Arabidopsis thaliana: one gene and its partners. The main gene of each other region encodes a partner of the protein of the gene in region 3 in a complex. Each region holds a gene or a part of one and is shown on either strand. Other genes may lie near its edges. The genes, in order: LSM3B, LSM3A, emb1644 and LSM1A.

Region 1 (3,665 bases), on a different chromosome or scaffold from region 3:
CGAGACCCCAGGGCATAATCGTAGACCAACTCGTGGCAGCGAAGACACAGTTTCAGATGACAAGCAATCTGTTTCAGCAGATGACCTCCTCGTAACACATACATTTCCTTTCTCTTTTCAACAGATTTGATCAAATATCAAAACCTCAATTTTGATCATTTTGTTTTATTTCGTGAACAGGCTCTAACGAAACAGTGTTCAAACGAATTGCTACAACAAGAGTTGGAGAGAACTCGTGTGAACACAGCATGCTTTGCAGAGTCAGCCCCATTAGAGTCAACGCCTCCATTACCCAAAGCTACCTACTCTTCCTTTAGAGGATCAATGGATTCTCCAAGCAGAAACTACAGAGGCTCACAATCATCTGGTTCTCCCATTAATGCCCGACCCAGACGAAGATAATAAGAGACCAACTTTGTTTATTTAATAATTTCTTCTCCGTTTATTTGTACGTAAATGATCATAATTCTCTTGTTCCTGGTGCATTTTTTTGTTTGTTTGTCTGTCTTTTTCAGACTCTTATCTTTATTTGTGAACTCAGATAATTGGGTTGTAATTAGTATATCACACGATCAAAGTATCTGAAAAGCATTGGAAATTTAAGCAAAGTAGCTTCTTCAAGCTTGTTTTAGTTAAGACAAGAAGTGACTAAATACAAGAATAGTCACAAATTCCCCTTACGAAAAGAGGACACAAAAGATTTGAGTTTGAACTCAGGCTGCTGTCCTCAGCGGTGGAGACACCAATATCACTCCATCTCCTCTCACGAATAGAAACTCAATCGTCCGCTTTGTAGTCTGCAATCAGAGATAGTAAACAAAACTAATCACATACATGAGAGACAAAAGCCACTTATCCTAATCAGATCAGAATTGTAGCCCGCCTAGAGGAGTCCCAACAACTAATATGTGTGTGCCTAAGAAGCTTAAAGAAAGAGACTTCTCTACTAGAAACAGTCAGTTACATGGAAATGCCTTCCTAATTTCGATCCAATAGCTTATATCTTCCAGAACAATAAGATTCGTGTAGGATATAATCTCTTGTCTAAGTAAATGTTCTACATTGAGCTGAAACTTCTGTATATAGTGAAAGCTAAAAGACACTTGTACACTTGTTCTCTAACAATATCCTTAACTTGAGATAGAAACTCATCAAGATCCCCCTCAAATACCTATAAAGTTAACTATTGAGTAAGAAAAAGCACGTACCCGAACAATCTCTTCATATGTCTCGTCATCGATTTCTACTGTAGTGATAGTTTCTTCAACATCACCCAGAATCATATTCAAATGCTGATCAAACGCCTGCCCAAAGAATTAACAACAACAACAACATCAAACCTAAGTGAGTAACTCAAGAGTGTAGAAATCTTCCAAAATTTAAGAACTTTGTCAAAATTAAATTTACACAAACCATAAATTCCCAATTGCAAGCTCATCGCCATAACTCGAGAAAACGTTTTTAGAAACTGAAACTTGAAAATCAAAACCCTAGACTTTCCCCCAAAAAAGGACCAAATTCGACACCAAAACAGTGAAATCGGCAAAATAAAGTTACAAAATTCAAACGAACTATGTGTGGAACGAGTATTTTAAGTAGTGACAAGTTCAAGGTACTAAGCAGGGCACAAGAAAACGTACGTGAAGCTTGCCGCGAAGTTCGCGGTCTGACCGGAGCTTGACATAGATTCTCTCGTCGAGACTCAGCCTAATCAGATCTAGTGGCTCCCTCACGGTGGCTTCTTCCTCGCCGGACATCGTGTAGACAGAGATACCTTCCCACCTGAAACACTTCTCGGAGGGTTTTGGTACCGACGAATCGTATAACCGGACACAAACTCTGATCTCGCGGACACGAACTTAACAATTTTGTTCTACGAATAAGATTTTACAAATATATGGCAACAGCCCAACAGAATATTAGGCCCATAAACGAACGTTGGCGAAAAAATGTTTTTTTTTTCAAAACTATCGGCATATTTTATTATTTCAAAGATTATCAATGGGTTCTACTAGCTAGGTTCTACTTCTACCTTGAGAAAATTGAGTTGAGGTCTTGTATGTATAGATATTTCAGTAAACAAATATTAATGTTAGATTTTAATTTTAAAATGTAAATTAAGATATTAAATTTGACGTTTTGTACTTCGATTCGTTTGTTTTCTACTTACAAGCGTTTCACAACTTTTTTCGAGTTGTAACGCTTGACAGTTTCACAAAGTAAGCATACGTGTAAAATAGAATCATTTATTGTGACTAATGTTTTTAACCAAATATGGTATCTTCTAAAACGTGATACCAATCACTTTTTAATCACTATATACAAATTTAAGTTTAATATATTTATATATAAATTTATAACTTTTTTTTATCTGAATTGTAACACTTATTGGTTCCATAAAATAAATATATGTGCGAGAGTATAATAACTTGGACATGATTTGGTGATGAAATTCTACAATATTGTGTTTTTAAAACTCACATTGTATCTACTAAATTTAAATTAATATAAATTTATATGTCCAAACTAAGATAACATAAATTTAAACAATATAGAAGAAGAACGACACTATTGTTAATAATTCGATAAGATACTAAAAAAAAAAAAAATATACACTTTTTAACCTTTTTAATGTGAATTGTAACGCTTCTACAAAATAAGCACACGTGTAAGAGTATAAAAACTTATTGTGGATTTAGTAATGAATCATGAAATGTTGTATTAATGATTCAATAAGGAAGTAAAAAAAAAAAGTTTAAAAAAAAAAACTAATACTTAGATTTCCCTTGACAATCATATCTTTTAATATATAAAAAAACATATAAATTTCAGTTATTTCAAAATTCAAATTCATACTCTACCCATAGTGACTACCAAAATCAATCGTAAATAAATAAATAAAAAAGAAATGGTGGGTCCAAATATCTTCTGATACATTGGACATAAATAACTTTTGTGATTTGTCACTAAAAAAGATTTAGAAACAAGACTCTCTTCTTCTTCTTCCTCTAAATGTTTTGTCCGCCACACGCATTGTCTCAGTGATCAGAGTTCTTCGTCTCTCTACTTGAACTCTCATCTCTAAAACCCTAGACTCTCTCGTCTTCAATCGTTTTAAAAAGGTCCGTTTAGTTTTAGCATGAAATTTTCTCTAAAGATAAGTTTTTTTTTTCGTCTTTTGTTAGCGATGTTTTATAGTTTATCGAATTCGTAGTGTTTGATTGCGATTGCTCTGTTTACAAGCTTACTTTGATCGGATGATTTAGGTTTCATATTTGGAGAAATCCATCTAAGAAAAGTTTGATTTTGAGGAGAAAGACTGAATTTTTATTTTCTCTGATTCAGATTTTTCTTTTGGAAACTGTAGAAATGGAAGGAAATTGCTCGCAAGGACGCTTTGATTCTCAAGTTTCTTCTATGAGAGATCTTCGTCCAAATGCTATAAATCAGAATCAGAAACAACACCATCCAAATTCTCGACAAGACTCAGGCTTTAACAATACTATGGATACACGTCACAACAATGTCGACAGAGGAAAGAAATCAATGAGTGAAGATGATGAACTATGTTTGTTAAGTAGTGATGGTCAAAACAAGTCCAAGGAAAACTCTCCTTGGCAACGTGTGAAATGGATGGATAAGATGGTGAAGCTAATGATAACTGC
Region 2 (3,813 bases), on a different chromosome or scaffold from region 3:
TCATTAACCACCACTTAATATTTACCATCTTCAATACTTAAAACCGCTAGCACATTCAGTTAAAAGCGGGTTTGCTTTGTTACTGTTGCTGCTTTAGGCTCTTGCACAGCAATGTACAAGCGGAATGCTTCAACTGGAGCTAGAGAAGACCCGTTTGAACAGTGCATGTTTCATTGAGACCATTCCGTTGGATCCAGTGCCACCAGTAGCCAAAGCTGCCTACTCCAGAACATCAACTGATTCTCCAAGCAGAAACTATAGAGAGTCACAACCAATGGGTTCTCCGGTTCAAGCCAGACCCAGACGAAGATAAGACTTCTCTTCTCCATTGTTACTATGCTCGAAGCGTGTTGGTGATCATGACAAGTTATATCTTACGATAGATACCTCAAAACTTTTAATTTCATCACTAATCTTTTTTTTACTGTAAATTTACATGCTTACAATTACATTAATCTTTTCTCATGAAATCAATCTTGTTTGCGTTTTCAGCCTCCTGTACTGTGAATCAATTTGATGGTTTGGTTAATCAAAATGTCTTTCCTAGGGTTACACACATCTAAATATGTCACCAATCACTATTCATAATAGAGCTCGAAATCAATGAGTTTGAGGAAGTATACAAATCTTTAGAGAAAACTACACCAAACCAGAAAACGAAACTAAATCCGATCGTAAACGGTAAGAAAGTCACAATACGAAGTATGTTACACTGATTCTACTATAACGAGGCACCCATTACCAAGATTCGAATGCTACATTCGGTTTCAATGTTTGACAACAAAGAAAAACATACCACACAATTACAAATTCAAAAGCCAAGTAATCAGAAAAAAGTGCTTTTACTCAGCGCCAGATTTGTTAACTCCGATCCCAGTACACAAGAACATTTAGGTCGTCCTCAAAGGCGGTGACACCAATATCACTCCATCTCCTCTCACGAATAGAAACGGTACCGTTCGCTTCGTTGTCTGACAGAAGCAAGTTACATCAGCAGGAGAAGAACATATGATTCTACACTAGTCTAATGAGAAGTTAGCACATCACATTTGGAGCGCAAACAACAAAATTCAAGTTTGAGAAACTAAACAGAGTTACTATATTGGTAATGAACACTCTCTATGTAACCAGCACTATTAACTTCTACATGAATCAAGCTCTCCTTTAAACTCAAACAGAGACATAGACAATAGATACTGTGATAGCTGAAATATTTTGAACCCAAAAACGTTTATCTTACTACTAAAGCCTACATAGATTAATAAATCTTATTGAGCTAAGAGAATTACATACCCGAACAATCTCTTCATATGTCTCGTCGTCGATTTCTATAGTCGTAATAACCTCTTCAACATCACCCAGAATCATATTCAAATGCTGATCAAAAGCCTACACCACAAAAACAACAACAAAAGTGAGAGTCTTAGAATTTAACAAGATTATGAGGTTTTCTACGCCAATTAGCTCTCGCTGAGGCTTTCGAAACTGAAACTCAACAAAATGGGTCCAAATTTTGATATTTGTGAAAAGAATAAAAACTAGTGTTAAATTCAACGAATAAGGAATTCAAAAAGGAGCTCAAAATCGAAAAAGATCACATCTGGTTACTGGTTTCTGGAATCCGAGTGGTTAAGAACGTACGTGAAGCTTGCCGCGGAGTTCACGGTCAGATCGGAGCTTGACATAGATCCTCTCTTCGATACTCAACCGAATCAGATCGAGTGGCTCTCTAACGGTGGCGTCTTCCTCGACTGACATTTTCTGATTATAACTTCTCCGAGGGTTTTGAAATTGTAGTGCTCTCGGCGATATCTCTCTGACTGAGCTCAAGCAATCGCCACCGTTGGTTCCCTAAAAACTTCAAACCAACATCTTACGATTCGGCCTTTTACTATGTTTTTGGGCTCTCATATCGGCCCAATATGGTTAGCTCTTTTTTTTTTTTTCGTCGAAGTATTATGAAGATAATAAATCATCTAATGCAAATAAATCATGGTTAGTGGAACTTAACTATATTAAGTCCAATCACAAGGTATCAATTGGTCATTTCATTACACTAAATTTACTATAATCTTTATATTGGTTGTTTTAATCAAAAAGCCTTTTGTCATATACAGAGAGAGAAGAGAAACCTGAGGAAGCTGACCGGAGAAGACGAAAGCAAACTTTTTTCTGTGAGTTTTACTTCCTTTGACTCATCTCTCATATATTTACCGCTTTATTTTCTTCATCCCGATTCCTCTCTGCTTCATTCTCTCCTAAAGTTTCGATCTTTAATATTCCCCTAAGATCCAGTACTAATTTTGTTGACAAAGGTTTTGACTTTTTGAGATCTGTTTTCTCTTCGATTTCTCTGATGAATTAGGAAGAAATTTGATCCAAAAATGGATGGGAATTTTCCACAAGGAGGTGTAGTTCGTAGTGGAGCTTCATCTTATGGAGGATTTGATTTACAAGGTTCTATGAGAGTTCATCACCAAGACTCCATGAATCAGCAGCATCGACACAATCCTAATTCTAGACCACTTCATGAAGGTCTTCCCTTTACTATGGTTACAGGTCAAACCTGTGATCATCATCAGAATCAGAACATGTCTATGTCTGAGCAACAGAAAGCTGAAAGAGAGAAGAATTCAGTGAGTGATGATGATGAACCAAGTTTCACAGAGGAAGGTGGTGATGGTGTTCATAATGAAGCTAATAGATCAACTAAAGGATCTCCATGGCAACGAGTGAAATGGACTGATAAGATGGTGAAGTTGTTGATTACTGCTGTTTCTTATATAGGAGATGATTCGAGTATAGATAGTAGTAGTAGAAGAAAGTTTGCTGTTTTGCAGAAGAAAGGGAAGTGGAAATCTGTTTCTAAAGTTATGGCTGAGAGAGGTTATCATGTTTCGCCGCAGCAATGTGAGGATAAGTTCAATGATTTGAATAAACGGTATAAGAAGCTTAATGATATGCTTGGTAGAGGAACATCTTGTCAAGTTGTTGAGAATCCTGCGCTTTTGGATTCGATTGGTTACTTGAATGATAAAGAGAAGGATGATGTTAGGAAGATTATGAGTTCTAAACATCTTTTTTATGAAGAGATGTGTTCGTATCATAATGGGAATAGGTTGCATTTGCCTCATGACCTTGCTTTGCAGCGTTCGTTACAGTTGGCGCTTAGAAGCAGAGATGATCATGATAATGATGATTCTAGGAAACATCAAATGGAGGATCTTGATGATGAGGATCATGATGGTGATGGTGATGAACATGATGAGTATGAGGAGCAACATTATGCGTATGGAGATTGTAGGGTAAATCATTATGGAGGTGGTGGTGGTCCTTTGAAGAAGATAAGACCAAGCCTTAGCCATGAAGATGGAGATCATCCGAGTCATGTGAATTCTCTGGAGTGTAATAAAGTCTCTTTACCTCAAATACCGTTTTCTCAAGCTGATGTGAATCAAGGTGGGGCGGAGAGTGGAAGAGCAGGTTCGGTGCAGAAGCAGTGGATGGAGTCGCGGACTCTCCAGCTAGAAGAGCAGAAGCTTCAGATCCAAGTTGAATTGCTGGAATTGGAGAAACAGAGATTCAGGTGGCAGAGGTTTAGCAAGAAAAGGGATCAAGAACTCGAGAGAATGAGAATGGAGAATGAAAGGATGAAACTTGAGAATGATCGGATGGGATTGGAGTTGAAACAAAGGGAATTGGGTGTTGAATTATAACGGAATTGGCTTCACTTCTCTTGATTGGTATATAGCTTTGCTAAATGAAGTCTCATTTTCTGCTTTTGTAAGCTTGCTTTGATTGGAATGATCTCGA
Region 3 (4,488 bases):
ATTAATCATAAGTTTAGTTTTTGTTAGAAAAGAACTATGGATTCACACGTTAGACGGTGTATATTGACGAAAATATCTTTATCAATTTCTAATATTACAATAAGACTTCCGATAGATTTGAGAAGAGGAAAATTCAATTGTAAAAATACAGTGAAGAAAAATATGTAATTTTCATGATATTTGAAGAAATACATATGACTCCTTACATAACGTGAAATATTGACAGATATGTATAATTATTACATTAAAACATAGTTATTTTATGAAATACTAATGATATATTGGATAAAAGACATGTAATTTGTTTATATAACATGAAATCTTGACAAAAATATGAATCTGTTCCAAAAAAAAAATATGAGATTTTGTTAGATAGCTTGACAAAAATTTACAAGTCAATGTAAAGACTTAAGAGCATGTTTTGTCTTTGAAATACATGCGTTTTTTAAATCATATCTAATCTTATATGTCATGCCGACGAGTGATGGAGAAAATCCGGTGAAAGAGGAAAAAAAGAATAGATAGGAAAAAAAGAAAAATAATAAAAGGGTAAGATGGACCAAAGATCTTATAAAAACCCTGTCGTTGGTTAATTGTATAAATTCTCTAACAATTATATAAATTCAAGACCTGAAAGATTCATTTTTAAGCGCAAATGAAAACAATTGGAATTTCACATATACCACAAAAAGGCAAAAGACAAATTTCATTTTTCGAAAAGATCACAAGGAGAATCGAAAAACACACTCCCTATCCCTTACATACTTAATAGAAAACCAACAACAGACCAACTTCTTATGTAACTTTTGGTTTTCTCCACAATGGGAAGTTAGCAGATTTGGCAGCGAGTCTTTAAAACTTGTTGCATCAACCACGGCCGCGACCTGCTCCTGTTTTTCATAACATATTAGAGTTTTAGCTTAAATCCCATTGTGGCAAGACACAGATATTTGAAGTATTCTAGTAAAATCAGAGTTTTGTGACAAGCTTTGTTTGTGTATTTTTTACCTCTGTTGCCACCCATCTTCCCCATTGAAGTTCCTCTGCCTCTGCCTCTGGCTCCTCCATCATCCACACCACGTCCTCTTCCACGTCCAACACCTGGTGGTTTTCTATCTGCACATATTCAACCATCGTTATTAACACCTGAAGTATTCTCAATGTCTACTCTGGCAAAATATTAACACCTCAGAAAACTCGAAGCATATCTCAGTAAAGGTACAATATAGACATGAGTAATACTATACCTGTGCGTGTCTTCTCCTCCTGTACTTTATCAATCACCTGAAGAGAGAAGAAATCAATTTAAGTCAGTTAACTCAATCTAGGTTGCAGCAGTAAGAACATAAATAGAAACAGCATATGACTGTCCTTCTAGATGAAGATATCGTTTATGGTATGTGAATATAATTTGATTTTAGAGGGAATGAAATAAAGTAGAAACAATAGAGAAAAATCGCATCAGAAACACAACACAGCAAAGTCCATAAAAGTGGGTCAACATTCTGGTCAGCAATAACCATTCCCTGTGATATCGTCTAAGACGCACTACAACAAGAGGCACACCATCTGCTGAACAAGGTTCCACAGAAAAATGCCTCTTGGAGCACATATCTGATTTGGCTAAGCATCATCATTCCAGAGAGAGGGGAACAAAGAAAAAACTAGATCAAGCAAGAGATATATACACACACACACAAAAAAAAATTACCTCATCCGGAACTCGAAGGTACTTGATTGTGTTACCACGGATATAACATTCCGGCATCCTCCAAAATCTATCTCCGTCCTAGAGTAATCAAGCAGCAAAATATATGAGTGTCAGCTACACAAAATTTCATCACGAAGTCTAAACAAAGTATATTTGTATCAACATATGAAAACATAAGATAACCTTTGATGTACATATGACTTCACGCAGATGGATGTTCATCCAAGTATCACAATTCACCAAATGCCCATTGTATGTCTCTCCATTCTTAAGCTCCACGAGCTACCAAAACAAAACAAGATTCAAAATTACAGTAAAAGGAAGTTCCTTTAGATCCCTAATGCAATGCTCACTTAAACTCAGCTTCACTTCATATATAACAAAATTGTAATCAAGGGTCGAAATTTTACTCACCATAGGATGCCCTTGAGCAGTTTTAAGCAGCGATAGAGGAAGCTATAAAATCAAAACAACAGCTTTCAGTTAATAAAAATTGAAACTTTAACGCAAACAAGAAAGAAGGAAAAAAACCCTAAGTTTGTCTAGTAACTTACCATCTTCTTAAATCAGAAGATTTAGAGATCCGTTAAGAACCTGATGACATCAGAGAAGTATAACATTAAACCCTTTATAAGATGCGGAAGAAGCAATAGCGAAAACGGAACAAAAACCCTAATTCAGCTACTAAAAAAAATCTGAGAGAAAAGGGAGAAACCTTGTAATATACTCCGAAGATCGGCAAGAAGGTGAACGATTCAAATATGAAAGAGATCGAAGAATAGAGAGGCGTCGAAACTTCGAAATCTGTTTTTTGCTTTTTTCTGCTTCTCGGGTTTTGACAGTGAGAGGGATGGATTTCTAATGAATCGGTGGTCTTTTAGTTTTAGGTCAATGGGAACTTTTTTGAGTTTTGCACTCGAGTCCCTTAACTTTATAATATTATCTGTTTTAGTATATATTGTTAAACATATCAATCTAGCCAACTAATCCGATGTCGTCCAGCGGTTAGGATATCTGGCTTTCACCCAGGAGACCCGGGTTCGATTCCCGGCATCGGAGCTTTTTGTTTTAATTTTTCGTATACTTTGTCTACACCAAAGTGTATTTGTAGCCGTTGGCAATGGTTACCTGGTGGAAAATAACTAATCATTAATATGTTATTGATGCTCTCGAAATTAATTAATTTACATCACTAAGGCGAACTGTGTGAATCAAACAAAGCCAAGTGATATGTCAAATCTAATCCTAAACTTTTACAATTAAGCTTAAAGCCTCAGCAATGTGATTGTTAAAGCTATTTTGTAACCGACAATACTTCAGACCTCTCTAAATTATCAACCAACTCGAACGTTATTGAACCTCGACCAGCTCCAGTAACTAAATCTTAATCAAAGTTTCAATTACACACAACTGTGTAATTGTGAATCTGTAACTGGTTTGTTTCAGCACATGAAAAGCTGATAGTCAGGTTCGTGAGCTCCGACATTCAAGTAATTGACATCAACTGCGGTTGTTCCCAAATCATCTGGTGGAGAAGGATAAGACATAAAGTTTCAATAGAGCATAAATCTTTAAGAGACTTTGAGTGTATGTATGTGTAATCAAATGTGATCTACAATGAAGCAAATTGATGAGTGAGATGAGAGAAGGTATAGAGTTGTTCAAACCTTCGTATATTGTTCTTACAAACTTAACATAGTCAGGGATGAGATCTCGGTATATGATTCCATCCGGATGCGCATCAAGAACCACAAGTACACCTACAGATCAATCAAAGGAAAGGAAGATGTCAAACGTAACACTACAATTGTTTTCCACGATACTAATGAAAGACAAGATCATCTTGAAACTATGAAGTGTTTAGATCTTTTCTATTACTCTCAGAGATGAAAACAGATATTATACCTGGAGCAACCCAATCTGGAGAAGAGTTGCTAGGTAATGGTGCAAGCCAAAGGATATTCCTCAAGTTCATTGAATCATTGTATTTCACGTCAGATCCTAACAAAAAGGAGATACAATCATAATACTGAAGATTTAAGGGATTTCTGTGACCATTTCTATGTTTCAAGAGATTGCAAGAAAACTCACAGTCACACGGACAAGAACCCATATTACCTCTCTGGCAATATCCCATGTTGTAAGGAAACACTTTCTTGTCATAGGCTGGATACTCTTTAGCATGAAACCTACCATCACCAATCAGATACTAGTCAACAACAGTACTCAAAACCTAGCTCAACCATGTAACTTTCTATAAATATTCCCCAAAACTCATTACTTACGTTCAACCTTTCTAAAAACACTGCAACAATTGTGTTAAGAATCAGAAACCATTCTTCCTTTATTGATAACTGTTGGTTACATTCAAGAACACAAGAACAAACCCTAGAGAGTTCTCTTCACTCTCAAAGCCTAAATGCTCCCAATTAACCAAATGGTCTAGACCCCCTTATATCTACTATTCTAGTGCCTATCAAAGCGTCTCGATTCTTACACAACGAAGTCAGTAACAGAACATGATCATCATTACTATTTCAAGAGTCCTAGTGTGTGTTGAGGAGACAAAGGAGACTTACAATATTCCAAGGCGTCCAGATTCTGAGGCAAGGAATAAATGGCCATGGAACAAATCATATCTACTCAATGAAACATTCAATCCAACACTAGGTCCCCTAGATTCAATTAGATGAAACAAGAACTCGAAATATGAGTTCACTTCCTGTTCATTAACATCATCAATCAGATCACTACACCATAAGATCAAACAGTTCACA
Region 4 (3,649 bases), on a different chromosome or scaffold from region 3:
GAATATAATCCATGTTCTTGAATATGGCTTCTTCTTCTTGCCTTGATCAGGTAGTGGAACTCTACGATGATGGGAAGTTGAAATTCACATGTCTTGGTCCTGACTTGTTTGAAGGTGATCAGAAGCCTCAGTACACGGTCCCTCCAAACGTCTGGTTTGGTTCGTTTCCTACAAAGGATGTTCATTTTTCTCAAGACGGGGCTCTGCTTAAAGCTGAGGCTAGAGACTCTGAGAACCATTTCTCTCTTGTTGGCTGCACCTGCGCTCCTGCTTTCCAGTTCGAGGACTTTGAGCTCGCGAAACGCTCTGATCTCTTATCAAGGTTTCCGCAACACGAGTCACTCATCACAATGCTATCTTACCCGGAGTGAAAGGGCCTACCTAGAGGAGACGCCTTATTGGCTCAATGGTTTTTGGTAACTACTAAGAGAAGGATACTATGTTTGCTTTGTTACTTCAACTTTTCATATGAATCATACAAAGGTTGTAACTGTACTTTGAGTTCACTTTTCATCTTTGTATCTTTGTTTTTACTGAATTGTGATTGATCAAATAAATGGCCAGTAAAGAACAGGCTCAACAATTTCATTCCATAAACAGAGCAGAGGATCTGCAACGACTAAGTTCTGAGGATTCATCAATGTCATCCACACATACACACATCAACTAACATTATGACGTTTAAGGATCTTCTGTATCCTCCATCTTGAGATCTTCTAGTTTCTACAATGCTGCAACACATAGGAAAATGCCCTAATCGAGATCAAGGAACTCCATTCTTTTCCGCATTGTGCCCTTTAAAAGCATTTCTTCCTTCTCTGCTTTCTGAGCCTGAGTATACGGAAGAGAGTAATTGAGGAGTCAGTAGAATCCAAAACACTAAACCAAATAAAAGCAAATCAGCTGTAGTACATTTGTGCAAGAAGCTCACAAATCAGAGCTAAAGCAATCAACAAGGGAGAGAAGGATATTTGCACTAACCCTTTTTATCTCTGCTTCTGGAACCTGAACCATATGAGCTGGAAGCTCTTCTTTTTCCACGTCCTAAGATCACAGAAACCCGATTCAAACACCGAAATCGTTCTTAAAAGTGGAAACTTTCATTTCAAAATGCAAGAGGAATTGGTTTGTTTAGTAAAAGCTTTACCAATTCACCAATCAAGACAACATTTTCTCCACGGATAATGTATAGACCTAAGGGAATATCACAGTAGAGATCACCCACAATGACTCTTTCATAAGCTTCTTCTAAAACAGCATTAGCTTCAAGAAAACCAAAAACAAACGAAACATTTCTTAAAACCATTTCAAAGACTTTGGATTTTCGGTGCAAAAGAGAAAGACAAGTACCAAATTGATCAAAGGACCGAAGTAGACCCATCAGTTTCCTACCATCACGAAGCAACACAAGAAGTTTCTCTGCAACAAGAAATCAAAACATTAAGAGACTATTGAATCATGTAGAAGAAGATAACATCTTCAACAACCATTGGGGATCAAAATCTTATTTTTTTACAGAATTCATCGCCGGTGAATCAGTAATGAGAAAGAGAGTGAGAGAGATTACTGTCTAGGTAAGCAGCAAGAGAAGTGGAGAAGAAGATATCATCAGGAGCAGCCCAAGACATTGGAATTCTAAAACTCAATCTCCTCCACTCGCATTTGCCTTTTTGACTTCTCAGTTTCCCAATTCCCGATCTTCCCTTTTCTTCTTCTCCTCGATTACTGAGCTTAAGAACAGAGAATCAACGAACCCTAATTTATTCACTAAGAGAGAGAGACTTGAGATCTATGGATCGTTTTCGTTAAGTCTGACGGCTCGCACGATTCTGTTCTGTCAAAGTTTGGTCAGACTGAGTTTTTTTTTCAATTTTAGGAAAAATACATTAAAACCCCAAAACTTCGTAACTATTGCATAATCAACCCATTTTATTTTGCATTTGGGTTTTCCTTCATTTCATTTTATTATTTAACAAGAAATCTCAGTCATTCTTCATTATTCATCACTTATTTCAAACTGCATAAATACAAATAAAATTATTTGATAAGATGAATATTTTGTAGTTTACATGAGCAAACAGATTTTCTTCACCACATTAAAATCTGAAAAAATAAAAACAAATCTATGATGAAAAATGGAGTTTGACAAGTAAATATACATCTGTAAACACTGATTATCAGAGATATTTTTATGACCCTTCTCCAATGTTATTCTTCATATCTTGAACAGTTGAACTTACACCATCACTCAATTGAGACCTGAAAAACATATTTTTGATTATTTGTCTTGAATCAGTGATCATGTTTGTTTGCTACTTTTTATATTTTACATAGAAAATCAATTTTTAATAAGAAAAAACTTTGGTTTTTATTTACATTCTATTATTACCATGACTATCAATCAGGTCCATTTAGCTTATTGGTTGATATCTACATCTCCAAGACAATATCTGTAACCATCAAAGAAATTTAAATTAATTTACCCTATCCATTATTCTTGTTTACATTTTTCTATTTGTTTATTTATCTATTTTTAAATTCTTACTTTTCATCTTTCTGCATTTTAATTCAGTCCTTATGATGTTTATTATATGCTTTTGACCTAACTAAATACTGCAATAAAGCCAGTCATGATATTCACTTGGTTAATTACACCATCTGTATGTTTAAAATAAAACTTTTTTTTTTTGCGACCTGAAAAACCAAATATATATAATTTTAGAAAATCTCACATTCAGAATCAGTCTTGACCCATTTGTTGGCGTCAACACTTGAACGAGCTTCATCCATAATCTTATGATTACTTTCCAAGTACTTCTTTGCTATAGAATTTGAACGTTGTGGATGTATCTTCTTGTTGAGTATTGTCCTTAGCATCTACACACAAAATAACATATGGAAAAAATGTTTCTAGTGTACATAACTATTATTGAATTCACTTCTTTTCATAATAAAAATAATATTTTGTTTAAAGATTGAATAATTTGATCATATATGCTTACCTTTTCCATTCGTGTGTTGTGCAATGAATCTCCTCTAGATAAATCAAGAAGAGGAGGTGGAGTTTTGAAGCCACTTGTGCAAACAAACATCTTCTTGAGAAGAAAAGAAAGCGATTTCTTCTTCCCGATAGTAACATCTGTATTAACCGGAGTTATATCTTTGCTAGAATCTGTTTCTTCTTCTTCTTCTTCTTGCTTGGGGAAGATATTGTTTCCAAGTGTTCCGATGGCTAAGAAGGTTTCTTCGTCTTGAGGCAAACCTTGGACTTCTTTACTCAAAGGAGGACTTGATGGTTCTTGAGCTATATATACATCATCAAACATATGAAACAAAAATATGAAAATATGCTCAAATGATTTATGCGAAGACTGTTCATGTAGTCTATGAATAATAAGAATATTTACTCACAAGAATCTGAAGTAGGCACACGCTTCTTTCCGCTAAGCTTTCTTTGAACCCAACTAAAAATCTGTGTAGAACAACAAGATCAAGATTTTTGCACGATCAAAGAAAGATCAACACTATTAATTTGATTTAGACATATATGAAAACCAACCTTCATATTTCAGAGACATGCATATATAAAAGCACATGTATGTGTGTGTTTATCCAAGAAATTTTCTTTTTCTGTCAATGTTCTCCAAGA

What was found.
Region 1: emb1644 (region 3) and LSM3B share a complex: the UniProt entries of both Arabidopsis thaliana proteins name them as parts of the heptameric LSM1-LSM7 complex.
Region 2: emb1644 (region 3) and LSM3A share a complex: the UniProt entries of both Arabidopsis thaliana proteins name them as parts of the heptameric LSM1-LSM7 complex.
Region 4: emb1644 (region 3) and LSM1A share a complex: the UniProt entries of both Arabidopsis thaliana proteins name them as parts of the heptameric LSM1-LSM7 complex.

Annotation. Positions count from the first base shown.
Region 1 is NC_003070.9:28,853,881-28,857,545, forward strand, and holds LSM3B (Small nuclear ribonucleoprotein family protein), read right to left. Parts: upstream 1,871-3,665; 5' UTR 1,758-1,870; coding exon 1,641-1,757; intron 1,305-1,640; coding exon 1,209-1,304; intron 798-1,208; coding exon 714-797; 3' UTR 534-713; downstream 1-533. Other genes in the region: SEC5A (exocyst complex component sec5), read left to right, coding at 1-91, 181-402; AT1G76870 (transcription factor), read left to right, coding at 3,370-3,665. UniProt on the Arabidopsis thaliana protein: Component of LSM protein complexes, which are involved in RNA processing. Component of the cytoplasmic LSM1-LSM7 complex which is involved in mRNA degradation by promoting decapping and leading to accurate 5'-3' mRNA decay.
Region 2 is NC_003070.9:7,419,099-7,422,911, forward strand, and holds LSM3A (Small nuclear ribonucleoprotein family protein), read right to left. Parts: upstream 1,860-3,813; 5' UTR 1,759-1,859; coding exon 1,642-1,758; intron 1,390-1,641; coding exon 1,294-1,389; intron 972-1,293; coding exon 891-971; 3' UTR 566-890; downstream 1-565. Other genes in the region: SEC5B (Exocyst complex component SEC5), read left to right, coding at 98-313; AT1G21200 (sequence-specific DNA binding transcription factor), read left to right, coding at 2,385-3,716. UniProt on the Arabidopsis thaliana protein: Component of LSM protein complexes, which are involved in RNA processing. Component of the cytoplasmic LSM1-LSM7 complex which is involved in mRNA degradation by promoting decapping and leading to accurate 5'-3' mRNA decay.
Region 3 is NC_003076.8:9,813,684-9,818,171, reverse strand, and holds emb1644 (Small nuclear ribonucleoprotein family protein), read right to left. Parts: upstream 2,673-4,488; 5' UTR 2,427-2,672; intron 2,306-2,426; 5' UTR 2,269-2,305; coding exon 2,266-2,268; intron 2,168-2,265; coding exon 2,126-2,167; intron 1,994-2,125; coding exon 1,895-1,993; intron 1,790-1,894; coding exon 1,712-1,789; intron 1,643-1,711; exon of another isoform or gene 1,505-1,642; intron 1,285-1,504; coding exon 1,248-1,284; intron 1,117-1,247; coding exon 1,009-1,116; intron 891-1,008; coding exon 868-890; 3' UTR 554-867; downstream 1-553. Other genes in the region: AT5G27710 (T-box protein), read right to left, coding at 3,154-3,236, 3,379-3,471, 3,617-3,712, 3,830-3,900, 4,291-4,433. UniProt on the Arabidopsis thaliana protein: Component of LSM protein complexes, which are involved in RNA processing. Component of the cytoplasmic LSM1-LSM7 complex which is involved in mRNA degradation by promoting decapping and leading to accurate 5'-3' mRNA decay.
Region 4 is NC_003070.9:6,606,267-6,609,915, reverse strand, and holds LSM1A (Small nuclear ribonucleoprotein family protein), read right to left. Parts: upstream 1,802-3,649; 5' UTR 1,629-1,801; coding exon 1,568-1,628; exon of another isoform or gene 1,420-1,567; coding exon 1,351-1,419; intron 1,264-1,350; coding exon 1,148-1,263; intron 1,045-1,147; coding exon 982-1,044; intron 832-981; coding exon 754-831; 3' UTR 547-753; downstream 1-546. Other genes in the region: AT1G19130 (RmlC-like jelly roll fold protein), read left to right, coding at 51-371; AT1G19115 (uncharacterized protein), read right to left, coding at 2,431-2,450, 2,733-2,877, 3,003-3,304, 3,412-3,472, 3,560-3,565. UniProt on the Arabidopsis thaliana protein: Component of the cytoplasmic LSM1-LSM7 complex which is involved in mRNA degradation by promoting decapping and leading to accurate 5'-3' mRNA decay.